Schizosaccharomyces pombe: one gene and its partners. The gene in region 2 interacts genetically with the main gene of each other region. Each region holds a gene or a part of one and is shown on either strand. Other genes may lie near its edges.

Region 1 (5,989 bases), on a different chromosome or scaffold from region 2:
TTGATTTTGATCCCCCCATCGGTTATGAAGAAAGTTTGCAAAAAAACAAGCAGCAAAATATTGCTGGCGTTCAAGGAACGATGGTTACCAAGATTGGTTACGATGAGCTGGTGAGGCAGGGCGATTCGAATTTGATGAAGGGAACAGGGACTAAACTAAATGGTAAAGAAGTTGCTGAAGTGCCTAAAATAAATTTGCTCGATGTTGAGAAACAAGAATGTCCTGCTCCGTTGATCCTACCATTGGGTACATACTTCTTTGGGTATCCTTATAAAGCACCCTCTATTGAAGAAGATTCTAAGAAAGACCCCAATTTATTTAAGTTTGAAGGTGCCGGTACATCTCTACGTGCCTCTCGCAAAACAAATGGAACAATGGGAAAAGGTTCCTCTGATGACCCAATCGATATTGATGCTTAATGTTAATCGTCTCAAGTTATTACTTGGTTGGATTTAGTTTATAACGATTTTAGTACCAGTCTTTTTACATTGAATGAATTAATTTATTATTTGTTTCAAAATATAATGTAATTAATTCTTACTTAGACTGCCTAGCTTTTTTTTACCAGTAGTATATTTCTTAATAAAACTTATTTTAATGCTAAAGAAATGAATGATTCGATAAAACGAATATTGACAATTGTAAGCCAAGTGCTTCCGATATCATAGAAAAAAGACAGGCATTGTGTTGAATAACTGTAATTTTAAGATAGCCTTAGGTATTACCGTAAGATGATGGACAAAGCACATCATTTGTTTCAACCTACCCTAAGTTTGAGTGACTGCTTTTTGGATGACTGTAGTTGTGTAACTGAACACACACAATTAACTTTCCAGCTTCCAAATGTCTGTTGCATCCAAGGTATGATTTAAACATTTTATCATTAAACGATTATTTTAAGGGTTAGGAAATGAACGAACTGGTAATTATTTGTAGCATGTTTTAGGGCTGTGTTTAAGGTTTCATTACTGCGACCCGAATGAAATACTTTATAGAAGTATAGCCTGTATAAAGACGCTCAAGTATTAAAAAATATAAATTCACATTTCGTTCATTATTCTTTAGAGTGTTAGCTCTGCAGACTCTGCTGATTTTTATTTTGTTTTCGCAAGTAGTAACCAAATTATAGAACCTCTTTGACCTCCTCGGAGAGGAGACTCCCGCAGCTACTACTACCGAGAAGAAAACCGCTGCTTCTCGTGACAAAAAGCGCTCCGACAGCCCTCCTGTCCCCCGCGAATTAGTCGCTCAAAGCACCACCTCTAGGAAGCGTGACCCTAACCAACCCACTCCTCGTGAGCGTACCGTTAATAAGAAGGCAGACCAACCTCGCAGACGCCGTCAAGCTCCTCAAGGAAACGAAGCCTTTGCTCGTGAAGGCAAAGAAGCTCGTGCTAACAACGCTGCCCATCCTGTGGATGCCACTGGCGCCCCCTCCAACCGCCGCAATGCTCGTGCTCGCCGTGGTCGTGAATTTGACCGCCATAGCCAAACTGGTAGAGTGTATGTGTTTTATTTTTCTACATGTGAATGCCAAATTATATAATTGCTAACCATTATTTTAGTGATACCAAGAAGGCTACTGAACGTGGCTGGGGTGATCTCGTAAACTCTGCTGCTAACCCTGATGTTGCAGAGAACGAAGGTAACACTCCCTCTGGAGCCCAAACTCCTGCTGCCGAGGAGGAAAATGTTAAGACTCTTGATGAATATCTGTCTGAACGCAAGTCCGCCGCAAAGCCTGTTGGTCGTACTGTTGAGAAACTTGAAAACGCTACTAAGGTCGAGAAGAGTGCCCCCGAAGAATTGTTTGCCTCTCTTAAGAAGAGCGCTTCTCAAAAGAAGTCTGCTGCCAAGGAAAGCAAGCCAAAGAAGGTTCTTCTTGATATCGAGCAAACTTTTACTGCTCGTCCTGCTCGCGGTGGCCGTCCTAACCGTGCTCCCCGTCGTGGTCCTTCAGAAACTGCCTCAAAAACCCAACAGGCACCTCCCACCCTTTCTGAGACTGACTTTCCCGCTCTTGCATAGATGAACTGGTGACTTGAGAGTAGCCTATTGATGTGGAGCGTTTGATTGGTCTTGGATGAAATTTCGTTGTCAAGCGTATGTGGAAAGGTGTGTGTTATCTTACAGATCCCTTTTTGTTTATTTTCCATTGAGCATCATTCGGGTTTCTAGGTTATTCAGTGATTCTTATCATTAAAGCGGTCTAAGGTGTATTCTGTGGTTGCATTCCCTTTTTTGATCCACATTTTGCGATGAATTGACTAAATATTTTTCAAAATGGTCGAATACTAGTGTGTAAAAAAAATTTCATTCTCGTATCTATTCACAACTAATATTAAGAAGATGCGCGTTTAAATCGTCTACCGACTGTTATCTTGATATAACGTATCTTATTTTTAATCTGTAAATATCAGCCTTAGTAATTGTGTACATAACAAAAGCATATTTCAGTGTACGGTAGGTCTGCCTGTGCAATTCACAAATACTCCATTTATTATTCCAATTGATTTTGTCATTTTCAAATGTCGTTTGCAGGGATATTGAAACGGACGTTGAATAAAGCCTTCTTAACCTTGTAAAATGACTATAGGAAAGTTATGAACGAGTTTGTGTATCGGTAACATAACAGGTAAATCACTCTTCATAATGCAAATTGCGGTTTACTTTTTATAGCATCATTTTTGATAGCTATTTAAAAAATTTGAAAGTTAATATAATTAATAAACTCGAGGATATGAGCAAACTGATAAAACGCGCTATATCGCGAATTCGCGCTTTAAAGGGCGTCGCGTCGCGTTGCGTTGGACACCGCTTATATACGTGCCACAAGTACGCAACAATCGACGAGTCGCAAAAAAACTGTCTCTGATTATTACTTTTCCTTCTGATTCTCTGCTACTAGGAATCTTTATATTGGTTTCCGTTTAGAAAAAATAACAAGATGGATAGGTCAATGGAACCATTGACCCCATCTCGTTTAAACACTTTGGGGGAAAGGCCAACAAACGAAGTGTATGAGTATGGAAAAGGAAAAAATGTGCAACATTTATTTCCTATAACACCGATGCAGAGACCATTAGGAAAAGAGAATGCGGCTCCAGGGACGATTTCACCGATTGCGGTTCGATCTCGAAATGTGCGTGCAGTAGAAATTGCAGATGAAAATGCATGTGAAGAGCCAGTCTTAAAAATAAAATCTGTTAGTAGTACGGAGAGTGAAGAGGAAAAAGAATCTTCTACTGAGATAGGAGAGAAACAGGAAAAAGAAACACATTTAGAACCCAAGACACCAGTACAAACCAATACCAACAATAATCACTTAGACGACATTCAGTGTTGTGCTAAAAACTTACGCTTACGTCTTGAATTGGCTATGTATAAAGTACAAGTTAATCAAACATTTTCCCCTCTGCAAGATCTTCCCATTGTCGCTAAAACGAAGCTTCACAATTGTCCAAACTCTGAACCTGTTACCTCCATATGGAACCAGAGATCGCTTTCTTCTGGAAAGCCTCCGTCCTTACATCTTTCAGGGAATCGCAGGCTTTCCATGGGATCTCCCACGAAGTCGATATATGATCAGAATGGTTTGACAACGCCAAGACCGATCGGTTCTGATGATCTAACACATATGTATGATCCTTATACCTCTCCTTTACGCACCCCTTCTCGTACGCTATCACGCTCCTCCTCTCATTATCTGTGGGTTCGTCATGGTAAATTGACACGTAGCGTATCTCTTTTACAACATAAAACGCCTAGACGCATTCGGCCAAAATCACTTTCTAAAAGCAATTCTACACCGTTAAAGCATTTAAGCGCTCAGAAACCAAATTCAAATTACTATACTGGCCCGCCTACTCCAGTATCCATATCCAACACTCCAGAAAACATTCATCCATCATCTTCCGAAGTAAGGCGTATTGCAAGTCACAGCAAGCAATTTTCAGACTATGGTTTAATTCGATGATCCTTCTTTTTACATTTTAAACCGAGTTATGGAATAATGTTATGAGATGATTTTTATAATACTTTAATTACTCTAGTTGTCGTTCATTTCCTTTCTGACAGATTTCTATATGTGAATTATTTTGAAATGCAAAAAATAACTTTTAATTCCTCGCAACACGTTCTTTTATTTCTTACTTGTTATGTAACAAGTCAGTCGTTAATAAAATTATTATCGCTGGTAAAGCCATCCTTCGTTTTATTTAATGCCTTAATTCATACGTACATCTTATATTGAGGTTTCTAGATTTCTTATATCCATTGAAATTCGTTCCCTCCGTTTGGGATCCAGTTTTTTAAGATATTACGAAGAATTTGCTTTTGCTGGCAACGTTTGATGTTGAGTTTCTTCCATTCATAATAGTTTTTTTCATTAGTCAACGATTGACTTAATTGATGCAGCAAATTCATCATACTCTTTCTACATATTAATGTTTGAGACTTTTCAACGTCTTTAGCTTTTGTTCCCGCTTTAATACCATTATGTATCACTTGAGTACACTGCATTTTATCACCGATCCATATCAAAACGTTTGTACTAGTTGCAGTTTTTTCTGCTTGGTTCAACGGCCGTGAATATAAAAAATTTTCATCCGTTTCCAGCACGGTAAAAGGATGAAAGTAATAAGGATTATCCTTTTCTCCAAATTCAGCAAGTGGTGCGCACCGACCAAAGGGTCCAAATGCTCTGTCAATTGCTGATTTAACTATCACTTTTTTATAAAGCACTACACATGATAAATAGATGGGCTCACAAATGAGGCTGGTCTGGGAATTCAAAATAGAAAGATATTGTTTTGCAGCTAATTTATCAGTACAGCTTTTGCTCCAGCTTACTGGGGCATCAGGTCTCCCCGGTTTAGTACGCACGATTCCAAGTAGTCCAAAATCCGCCCTCCCACGCATTAATTTCTCTGAATCAACTGTTAAGTTCCATGGTTTGTTGTTTTCCAAGCGGCTAGCTAGTAGCTCCATACTCGCATCTCCGCAAGGACATTCGGAAACGTACAGATGTATCAGAAGATTGCTGTTTAGAGTAAATTTACCATTATCAGCAACTTCAAGAAGCCACGTATCTTTCTTTGATTCTTTAATTAAAATACAATGTTCGAGAAGTAATCTTAATTCTTTTATTAGTAACGAATACTAACAAATATACAAATAATTGTATATATTACCTGTTAAAACATCTTAATGCCAGAATCTCAGCATGACAATCATGTAATACACTACCCAGTTGTTCATTCTTAATGATGCCAGCTGGCGTACTAAATTGACTTGTTAATGAAAAAAATCAATTGGTAGCATACCATTTTACACCTGTTCTTTAGATGTCAGTTTACCGATATTAATAAAAAAGACGTACGCTAGACAAACACAAATAAATTCGTTCTCCATCTTTTTCTGAATGACAACACCGGCTAAAGTAGTCCATTCACGCACCCCATTTGCTCTTATGATCGGTTTGCCATGACGGGCTAGTTCATCAAATTTGTTAAGGACTGCAAGAGCTATTAAATTCCCAACATTACTGTTTCTATCTAGGGTAAATTCTTCCATTTTCTAATGAATTTCATAAATCCATACTTTATATTCAATTGTATTAAGAAAAGAGTACTTCGGGAGCGTAAATCCTGTGATATGTTGTGACCGTAATTAAATACTAATATTTTGTTTCCAACTGTTAATTAATAACAATTGGGTATTCCTAATAGCAAAGCTTATTCGCTGTAAGTGATTGAAGTACAAATGTTGGCAAAAGCATTTGTGGTAGTGTGTTGAAGCAAGTAATTTTGTCTGCATACGAGTAATTTACCAACTACCACAACTATTAGAATGTCACTTTTTGGACAGGCTACAACATCTACAGTATCTAATGCAACCGGTGACTTAAAAAAGGATGTGGAGGTTTGTTAATTTTACATATACGCTACTTACATTTGCTAATTACACGATAGGTTGCCCAACCCCCGGA
Region 2 (4,629 bases):
GTAGTTTGTAATTTGTTTTGGCTTAACGAGTACATACATTTTTATTTGGCATGTTTTGGAGTGAAACCTATGAAAGATAACGATAGTATTAAGATATATATAAGTAGTTTTCATCATCATTTATATTTGGATGCAATTCATGTATCCATCTTTTAGCAGAAATTTGTCGTAATCATCACGCTGATGCTAAAAACGTTGAGTTGCACAGAAAACAAGTATAGAAGAATCGCGGTCCCCGATTGCCTTGCAGAACAGGTGAAAAATCAATCCTTGGGAAATTTCGCCATTTTGCAAATAACTGATAAGTCAGCAGTTCGATACAGTGCTGCTCCATGCATAAGGGACAGCAAACGTAATTGCTTCTTTGACCAGGTAAACCATTATTTTGTACTAACGACATATACACCAATTTTGAATCGTGGTTGCATCTTTGAGATGGCAAACCGTTATTATGTGCTAACGAATTGTTTAGCAATTTAATCATTTGGTTGCTTTTACTGGTACTTTTTTGATTTGAAGATAGCAATAAACGTTCAAAGAGAGCCGCTATGACGGCTTCTTTATAATTGGGAATTATTTTATCCTCGTTTTCAAATATTCCTCCTAGAAGATTTGCTAAGACGTTGAGACATAAAAGTTTATCTTTTTCTTCGATAAAGCTAGGAAATTCCGACATTATTAGCATCTCCAATTTAAAGATTTGGAAAACGACATTTTCGTCACCAATTTTGTTGAAATCCATTGCTCTTTTTATTCACGTTTCACAAAATATACACGCTTAATATTGGCTTTTTCTTTTTTCTGTTTTGATATTTTGTAATATGCAATTTCACTAAAATACGAAAACACAACTGTTCACAAAATCATTAATATGTTTGGAGAAAAAGGGAGTGTAAACATAAACAATACCCATGGTGTTTACATTTTGGACTCCGGTGAATGTAAACATAGTAACAAGCGTACAGTGATGGCTTCTATAAACACCAAATCAGCAAATAAGAAAGGACTTGGGGTTAGAAATATATAAAAAATACAACAGTTTATCATTAAAGATTATCAAAGAATGAAGAGAAATATTCAAATAATCGCAAAAAGTTTCTCCCTGATAAAAAATACAATCATTCGTCGTTACCACGAATCTCTTTTCCAAATCAGTATTTCAAAAAAAAGTTGGAAAAAAAAGAAAAAAAAATTAAACACTTATTAATCGAACTCGTGTTGTCATTGTTTAATCACAAACCAGCTGGTAATTGCCTTAATTCCACTTTCAAATCACACATTCGCTTAATTGTCTTTCAAAATTTTTGCTTTGATAATCTTATGACTTTAAGTCAAAAAAAAAGAATAAATGGTAGTAAATAATGTGAAGAGAAAACGGAACCTTGAAAAAGTTTTGCAAATGGCAAGGAGGAGGAAAATATATTGTGGACAAACTATTAGTTTCTAATCCAACCTTTAATATTGAGACACAAAGTTTAAGCATTGCCTCATTGATCTGATGCCTGCATCAGAAAGCTCTTTTTAAGCATTAGAGGATCTATTAACAACGGTGAATCCTCCCATACGAATTGGCTCTTGATTTTTTGGAGGTAAAATAGGCGAAGTGGTGGGTTCAGAAACAGGTTCTTCATCTACTTCCTTCTGCCCTTTTTCTATCTCATCTATCTGATTTTTATCACTAACAGTGTCTTGTTCTTGATCTTTATCCTTTTGCTTTTCTTTAGCTTTCTCTTTCTCTAGTTTTGCTGAATTTTGCGCACTTCGTCGACGTCTTGCTTCTCTGGCCTTCTCACGCGCTGCAAGCAATCCTTCATGATAAGGTTTCTTCTCTTCTTCGGTCAAATTATTCCATGTATCTTCAAGAGTTTTCTTCAAAGCTTGTCCCTTCAAGGTAGAGCCTTCGGCCTTTAATTTTGGTTTTTGAATAGACGAAAAATGGTTGAATAACATTGTGTCTGTAATTTTGGCATTAGAAGTAGCTTTTTTAGCTCCAGATGATTTTGAGCTTTCTGTTTTAAGATTTGTAATAATAGGAGAAGGTATTGGATCAGTATTCGTAATTTTTTCATCTTTTGATTGAACAACTTGATTTTGCTGCTCAAAGTCTGCATCTGTGTCATTGACGGATGCATCTTTAGGCTGGGAATTATTTGATGATTTATGAGATATTTCCGACGTGTTGTTTAATGCTACGTTTGTATCAGATGTTTCTTCTGTAGATATCTTTAACTTCTTGGCAGACGGGTTTCCAGCGCCTTTCGTTGATATTTTGATTTTAATACCTTCGGGAGGAGGCTACATATGATTAGTACAAGTATTACAATAAATTCACTCTATAAAAACACTTACAGGAGGAGATGGCTCAGAGCGCTGTCCAAATTCGCGAGATTTTGCTTCACTTTGCAATTCCAACTGTTCCATTAAGATAGCTCTTTCTAATCGGCCACGCTTGACAGCTCTTCGAATAACCTCATATTTGCTTAATAACTCCTGATTTCCTTTTTGGATCTCCTGAATTCTAGCCTTTAAATCCTTGCACTTTTGGCGATATTTAATTTCTGAGTATTCATTAGTAAATGAAAAAATCAATCAAGCTTCAAAATATTCACCTTCCGATTTGGAAATAGATACATGGTATGGAGGGTTTTCCATGGATATAGATGCTCTGCCTTTGATCTTGTTCGCACAATGTAGTAAGTACTGTCGCGAATTAAGAGCACTGACTGGAGGTCTAAAATAGCGAATTTATACAAGTCTTAACGCTACGACATGCTTTCGATTTTTTGAATACAAATAGAAATCTGGAAAAAGTTATTAAAATGACTCTCCATTGGGATTAGAACTTTAAAAAAACTATATGTGAAAGTATCAACTCTGGTAGTAATACGCACTGATTGATTCAAGCGCAATTGCATCATGAATATAAAAATTATAAATTAAGTATGATAAAATTAAATAACAGAGATATTAATGAAAGAATGACTAATAGCAAAAAGATCGGTTTGTCCACGCAAAGAAATTAAAAAGAAAAATGCGAACTTAAATTAACAAACCATAACCATTTTATCCTTCAACGAATGCCATAGCCTCCTCCTTAGAAATCGACTCAACTGTTGAAACTTTGTGATTAAACATTACTCCGTAAAAATTGTCCGCAACTTTCACCATCTCAGGCCGAAAAGTAGTGCAAATAAATTGACTAGTTTTTGACATCTCTTTGACCATCGCTGCAATGGCCGAGCGATATTGTGCATCTAAATTAGCATCACATTCATCGAGTATATTAAAAGGCGCAGGATCACAGCGTTGGATAGCAAAAATTAAAGTTAAAGCACAAAGTGACTTCTGACCGCCACTCAATTGATTAATATTCAGTTGTTCATCATCCTTACTGTTAAAAGAAACTCTTATGCTGATACCTGTATAATTGTCGATCGAGCTTTTCTGGGATGGCGTATCAATGTCCATGGAGATGTCTTGTTCGATGCTTTGACTCAATTCACTTCTTCTATTCATAACCAATTCACCTCTACCTGCCGGAACAAGTTTAACGAATATTTCAGAAAAGCTTTTAGCAACTTGTTTAAAGGTACGCTCAATTGCTTCATCTTTTCTTTGGTCAAGTACTGTCGTAAGCTCACTAATTGACTCCTGAGAACGACGCAACTCTTCTCTCCTAGCCAACAATGAATCGCGTTGTTTAGTAAAATTATTAAATTGCTCATATGCTTTCTTATTAACGCTTCCATAATCTTTAAGGGCTTCGTTGATTTTATGAAGTTTCTTCACAATAGCATTTGAGCTAGTTGAAACATATTTAATAAATGCTTCTTCCGGCAAAACCCCCAATGATTTAATTTTCTCGTTACATTCTTTTTTCCGTGCGAGAAGCAAACTTCTCTTTGCTGCGTTTCTTTCGTTAATTTTTGCATCTTGTTCAATTCGGGTAGCCACTTCGTGCTGCAATTCTTCTAGCGATTCCAATTCATTTCGTTTATCGCTTATTTCAGAATTGATTCTTTGCATTTGTTCCTCCAACCCAGAAGATGAAGATTTAATAATTTGCAATTTGTTTTCATACTTAAGTAGAGATCTCTTTACGCTGTTCAATTCTGATTCGTCTATTCTGTTATCAGAACCAATTTCAGCTTTCAATGGATTCCTTCTTAAATATAAGTTTGTATTTAATTCATATTCAAGAGCCGTCTTTCTTGCTTCTATATGTGCTCGTTCTTTAATGATGGCATCAAACTCATGAGAGAGATTTTCAATTTGACCACTCAAAGACTTTAGTGCTTCCACATCTTTGGGATCAAGTTCATCCATTTCTGAACTTAATTCAGATTTCAAGTCATTAGCTTGTTGTTCAAGTGTATGTAGTTCCAAAACAACAAGCTCAAGCATACGACTTTTATGATGCATTGATTCTTGAAGATCTGTTGTTTCTCCAGTAATAGTTACGAGTTCATCTTTAAGAGGAATATGATCTCTTTCAAATTGCTTTAAACTTAGTTGAGCCTTTTGCAAATCATCTAAGCATGCAGTAATTTTTTGGTCAAAAGATTCAATTTCGGAACGACATTTCTCCAAACTTTCTTGTAAATCCGAGAATTTGATCTGGTATGTTTT
Region 3 (5,045 bases), 680 kb from region 2:
TTATCGTTCATAAGAATTTACATATTCACCACTCCAGATAATACTACGCAAGACTAAACCTAACTCCTTCGTTTCACTGATTCAACAATTTATTAAATTTCAATATGCTTTTTACCTTTAAGACATGTTATAAGCCTTCAGACACACTCATTTTTTAAATATTAATGGCGAATATTTTACTTTGCTGGTTTGTTGTTGAATAGCGCAGATAGCTATTACTTGATAGCGTAATTAGTTAAACTCGCTTTTATAAAAAATAGTAGTAGTTGAACAAGCTTCTATATTAGTAGTTTAACGAATACGTCTAGAAAATTTGCTATACTAGTATACGGCTTCAGGTACATATATCATCGGTAAAAATTTTTTTGGCTATATATAGCAGCTTGTCGCGCCGTACCAGCAGTCAAACTAAAAAACTCCCAAATTCTTTTAAACGGGCTTTTGGTATAGGTTGTGAATATAATGGCAAAAAAGGATAAAACCTCCGTTAAGAAATCAGTGAAGGAGACTGCATCAAAGAAGGGTGCCATTGAGAAACCTTCCAAGTCCAAGAAGATTACTAAGGAGGCTGCTAAAGAGATTGCAAAGCAAAGCTCTAAAACCGATGTCTCCCCTAAAAAATCTAAAAAGGAGGCTAAGCGTGCTTCTAGTCCCGAACCTTCAAAGAAATCAGTAAAAAAGCAAAAGAAATCTAAGAAGAAGGAAGAAAGCTCCTCAGAATCCGAGTCTGAATCTAGCTCATCAGAATCCGAGTCTTCCTCTTCAGAATCCGAATCTAGTTCTTCAGAGTCCGAATCATCTTCATCTGAATCCTCTTCGTCTGAGTCTGAAGAAGAAGTGATTGTGAAAACTGAAGAGAAGAAGGAGAGTTCCAGCGAATCATCTTCCTCCTCTGAGTCTGAAGAGGAAGAAGAGGCTGTTGTAAAAATTGAAGAAAAGAAGGAGAGCTCTAGTGACTCTTCTTCCGAGTCTTCCTCATCTGAATCTGAATCCGAATCTTCCTCATCTGAATCTGAGGAAGAAGAAGAGGTGGTCGAGAAGACTGAAGAGAAGAAAGAAGGCTCCAGCGAGTCTTCTTCTGACTCCGAATCCTCGTCAGATTCCTCCTCAGAATCTGGAGACAGCGACTCTTCCTCTGATTCTGAATCCGAATCCAGCTCTGAAGACGAGAAGAAACGTAAAGCCGAGCCTGCTTCTGAAGAAAGACCTGCTAAGATTACCAAGCCTTCTCAAGATTCTAACGAGACTTGCACTGTTTTCGTCGGTCGTCTTTCTTGGAACGTAGATGATCAGTGGTTAGGGCAGGAATTTGAAGAGTACGGTACAATTGTTGGTGCACGTGTTATTATGGATGGCCAAAGCGGTCGCTCAAAGGGTTACGGCTACGTTGATTTTGAGACCCCTGAGGCTGCTAAGGCTGCTGTTGCCGCTAATGGTACCAAGGAAATTGATGGTCGTATGGTCAACTTAGATCTCTCTAATCCTCGCCCAGCCAACCCTCAACCATATGCTCAACAACGTGCGGGTAATTTTGGAGACCAATTATCTGAACCTAGTGATACCGTATTTGTTGGAAATTTGTCTTTTAACGCAACTGAAGATGATCTCAGTACGGCTTTTGGCGGTTGCGGTGACATTCAATCCATTCGTTTGCCCACAGATCCTCAGTCAGGACGTCTTAAGGGTTTCGGTTATGTTACTTTCTCTGATATTGACTCTGCCAAGAAATGTGTGGAAATGAACGGTCATTTTATTGCTGGTCGCCCATGTCGTTTGGACTTTTCAACTCCTCGTACTGGTGGAGGTAGCCGTGGTGGTCGCGGTGGATTTGGCGGTCGTGGTGGATTCGGTGGCCGTGGTGGATTTGGTGGCGGACGTGGTCGCGGTAGAGGTGGTGCTCGCTCTGGAAACCCCAACCGTGGCTCGGTTGCTCCATTTTCTGGGAACAAAGTCACTTTTGACTAAGTATACTGGCTTTTAACTATATTGAGTTCATTTTTATGGGTTAAATGTAAATACCTTAGCAAATTAATATATGAGTTTGGGTTTTTGGGAAACTTTTTGGCATAAAGGGTTTTAATAAATGTTGGGCTGTGGATTTGATTTAATTGGGTTGAAGTATTCAAATACAAATGACTTGTTTGGGTTTGTTATGGAATGAATTTGGGTTTGGTTTGGTTTTATTGACTTTATAAAGATAATAAATATGGGCCCGTTGGTTTTACAATTTCAAAGCAGTGATGGTTGGCGTTGTTCTACGGTTTAGTTCATGTATTCACCTTTCCTTTATACGTTCCATAGAAGCTTTTGACATAGCTTTAGATAGGTTTTAATATAAAATAGAATCTTATTTAGTTTTGTTCTTGTTCATCTAATCAATCCATGTTACTCACAATCATCGTTGATCACTTTCTAATAGCTAGTAAATGAAGACCGTTTTGTGTTCCTTTTTGGGCTTTTCCATACGGCACTTTAAATTAATGATTTTTTGTTGAACTTTGATTGTGGTCTTACCCGTAATCATAAATGAAGAATGTAGTCGAGCCATTGTCATATTGTCTTATATCTTCAACTTGTAATGTCTCGTCTATTAAATTAGGTAAGCATCAATAGAAGGTATCATTGATTCTACATTACAAATACGCTTCTATTTCAACTTTTAAATTAATACAAGCATGTTTACTTACACTTTGGTTGCGATTATTTTAAGCAAATTAAAAAAAAATATTTTTGTATATCAAATTATAATATAGCTAAATTCAATTGTAACAGTAGTGATGAGTTCTGGCATATTCAAAAAACGGTTGTAGAATAATATATCCAGCGTTACTAAATCCGGCAAAGGAACTGTCTACTTAACTCTATGAACAAAGCTTCTAATACAACACTGTAAATTTGGTTCCTTAGATTCCCCTTACCACACTGATAAACTAGTAAATCAACTATACGACTAGTGTACTGACTTTCCAGTCCAGATGAAGTGATTGAGTGATGGCAGAAGGTGATTTTAAAAATGACAGTACAGGTTGTATTGGCGATAGCGTGGAATTTACTACTTTTAAAAAACGTACAGGAAAAAGTCTCGGTAATAGAAGAAAAAAGAGGGTATTTCTTAAGCTTTAGAAAACCCGTCTAATAAATATTAGGGATTGTCTGGATGGGAGCCTTATTTTCAAGAACCCGAACTGACAGCTGAAGAGAAATTGGAAAATGAGACATTATACAGCAGGTGAGAATACAAAATATTGTGTCTTACTAACACTTCTAGGAACATACCATTGACTGTGTTAGTAAACAGATGTTAAGGACTTTGCTGACAAATTAGGCGAATGGAGCGATTTATTCAAAGATATCGATCACGCAGAAAATGGAGCGACCCTACAAGAATAAGACTGTTTACAATGTATCTAGATTTAGGAGGCGTTTCTACGGGCCAAAAACAGTTTACAGGGGGTACTGATATTAATAACGATGCGAAGGCACGAGAAGTTTCCGCTCAAACCACGACTGATTATATTGAATACGATATACTTGATGAATATGATATTGATTTTAAGTGGGTTGCTGGAGTATTTCTGTGAGTCATTTATGTTTCCATTGAATTTAATTCACGTTGTATTTTAGCTAATCAATTTAAGGTCGTCACACATTTTGTATAACGCTGGACTAACTAAGGAAGAGGATTTGCAAATAGCTTGTCAAATTGTTAGAAATTTTCTGCTAAGTGTTTTGCATAACAATGTTGCACCAGAATTCGAAGATAATATTCGTGACGCATGTTTATTAGCAGAGCAAGCAGAAACTGAATTAATTTCTAATAAGAGGCTATCAACTAAACTTCCCGGTAGATTGCAGCGGGCATTGGCTAGTATACATGTTGACAATTATAAAGGCTTATGGGACAAATCGCAAAGTGATAGGACAAGTGATAGTTCAGTCAATTTCATTGAATCCAATAATACCAAATTCATGCCAAATGATGAACTATTTGAGCCTGATGGAATTAGTAGATTTTCTACACAGCAAGCGCGCGACTACATCCAGAGAACTCTTGGTCCACGATATTTGACTGGGAAAGTCGTTGAACAAGAGTACTTAACAGTCAAGTTAGTTTCTAAAACGCTATTGAATTTTTCAAACCAATCTTTATGCAAAGCAGTGTTTATCGTTTGGGATCCACCCGGATCTAAATATTCTCAAGATACAAATAAGGAAAGACTAGAAGTAATTTTGGAATCTGATTTACTGAACAACACTGTTGATGGCACTCACTTAGAGGGATCGTTCACTTTTTTGGATAATGGACTGACTATATTAGACACTGTGCTTGCTGTGCTACCCACCTTTTATGAAGAAGTTAAAGATGAATAGCATTGTATTTTAATATAGTTACTTTTGTAATATAGCTGGATATGAAATCCTTTAATTAGTTGCTTCTTCTTATTGTGATGAGGATAAAGTTCTAACATATATTAATGACCCGTTGGTGAGTTCGTACTTCCCCCAATTGCATAAACAATAAGTATAAGAAATTATAATTCCCAATCACATAATAGATATTACTTGTGTATGTAATTTAATGTTTTCAAATATTTTTATACAAATACGTCAAACTATGCGACAATATTTTGAAAGCTAGATCGTGCAGAAGTCGCTTCTGAGTCAGTATTGAGCAATAAGAATTATTCGGATGATTTTTTCAATAATCTTAAGTTACTGTCAGGCTCAATGCAATAAACACGATCAAAAGAACATTTAAAGCTATAATGTGTATTCACTTTTAATTGTAAACACAAACGATTAAAAAATTTACGTGTATAAGTATTTTTCCTCTATGAAGGCTAAAACGTTATGTGGAAAAGAATAGTCAATCATCAATAACGTTCATAACTTGTACTATTGAACAAGTCGTGCTGGGTAAAGATAGAAATCAAGTAACTGGATTGGAAGTTGTGATTAGCATAGCGAAACGCAGCGCCTATGGCGAAATAACCCAGGTGAGGAAAAGACACCTTACAACTCCAAAACGACGAAAATAAATTGGT

The links. Genes that interact genetically often act in the same process or in processes that back each other up.
Region 1: mutations in nht1 (region 2) and nrm1 impair growth when combined (synthetic growth defect), as found in Schizosaccharomyces pombe (one study listed by BioGRID).
Region 3: of nht1 (region 2) and arb1, changing one suppresses a phenotype caused by changing the other (phenotypic suppression), as found in Schizosaccharomyces pombe (one study listed by BioGRID).

What each region holds. Positions count from the first base shown.
Region 1 is NC_003423.3:4,283,095-4,289,083, forward strand, and holds nrm1 (protein nrm1), read left to right. Parts: upstream 1-2,849; 5' UTR 2,850-2,947; coding exon 2,948-3,976; 3' UTR 3,977-4,266; coding exon of another isoform or gene 4,267-5,134; 3' UTR 5,135-5,192; coding exon of another isoform or gene 5,193-5,282; 3' UTR 5,283-5,324; coding exon of another isoform or gene 5,325-5,339; 3' UTR 5,340-5,380; downstream 5,381-5,989. Other genes in the region: Hrd1 ubiquitin ligase complex subunit Ufd1, read left to right, coding at 1-419; oga1 (protein stm1), read left to right, coding at 844-861, 1,130-1,503, 1,566-2,028; tad1 (tRNA specific adenosine deaminase), read right to left, coding at 4,267-5,134, 5,193-5,282, 5,325-5,339, 5,381-5,574; nucleoporin Rae1, read left to right, coding at 5,851-5,922, 5,973-5,989. UniProt on the Schizosaccharomyces pombe protein: Negative regulatory component of the MBF complex involved in cell-cycle-dependent transcription.
Region 2 is NC_003424.3:1,218,146-1,222,774, forward strand, and holds nht1 (Ino80 complex HMG box subunit Nht1), read right to left. Parts: upstream 2,708-4,629; 5' UTR 2,653-2,707; coding exon 2,610-2,652; intron 2,559-2,609; coding exon 2,350-2,558; intron 2,296-2,349; coding exon 1,522-2,295; downstream 1-1,521. Other genes in the region: protein mug94, read right to left, coding at 176-742; psm3 (mitotic/meiotic cohesin complex ATPase subunit Psm3/Smc3), read right to left, coding at 3,064-4,629.
Region 3 is NC_003424.3:1,897,061-1,902,105, forward strand, and holds arb1 (argonaute inhibitor protein 1), read left to right. Parts: upstream 1-2,905; 5' UTR 2,906-2,991; coding exon 2,992-3,105; exon of another isoform or gene 3,106-3,146; coding exon 3,147-3,229; exon of another isoform or gene 3,230-3,268; coding exon 3,269-3,286; exon of another isoform or gene 3,287-3,325; coding exon 3,326-3,577; exon of another isoform or gene 3,578-3,638; coding exon 3,639-4,371; 3' UTR 4,372-4,545; downstream 4,546-5,045. Other genes in the region: gar2 (nucleolin), read left to right, coding at 463-1,965. UniProt on the Schizosaccharomyces pombe protein: Component of the argonaute siRNA chaperone (ARC) complex which is required for histone H3K9 methylation, heterochromatin assembly and siRNA generation. The ARC complex contains mostly double-stranded siRNA.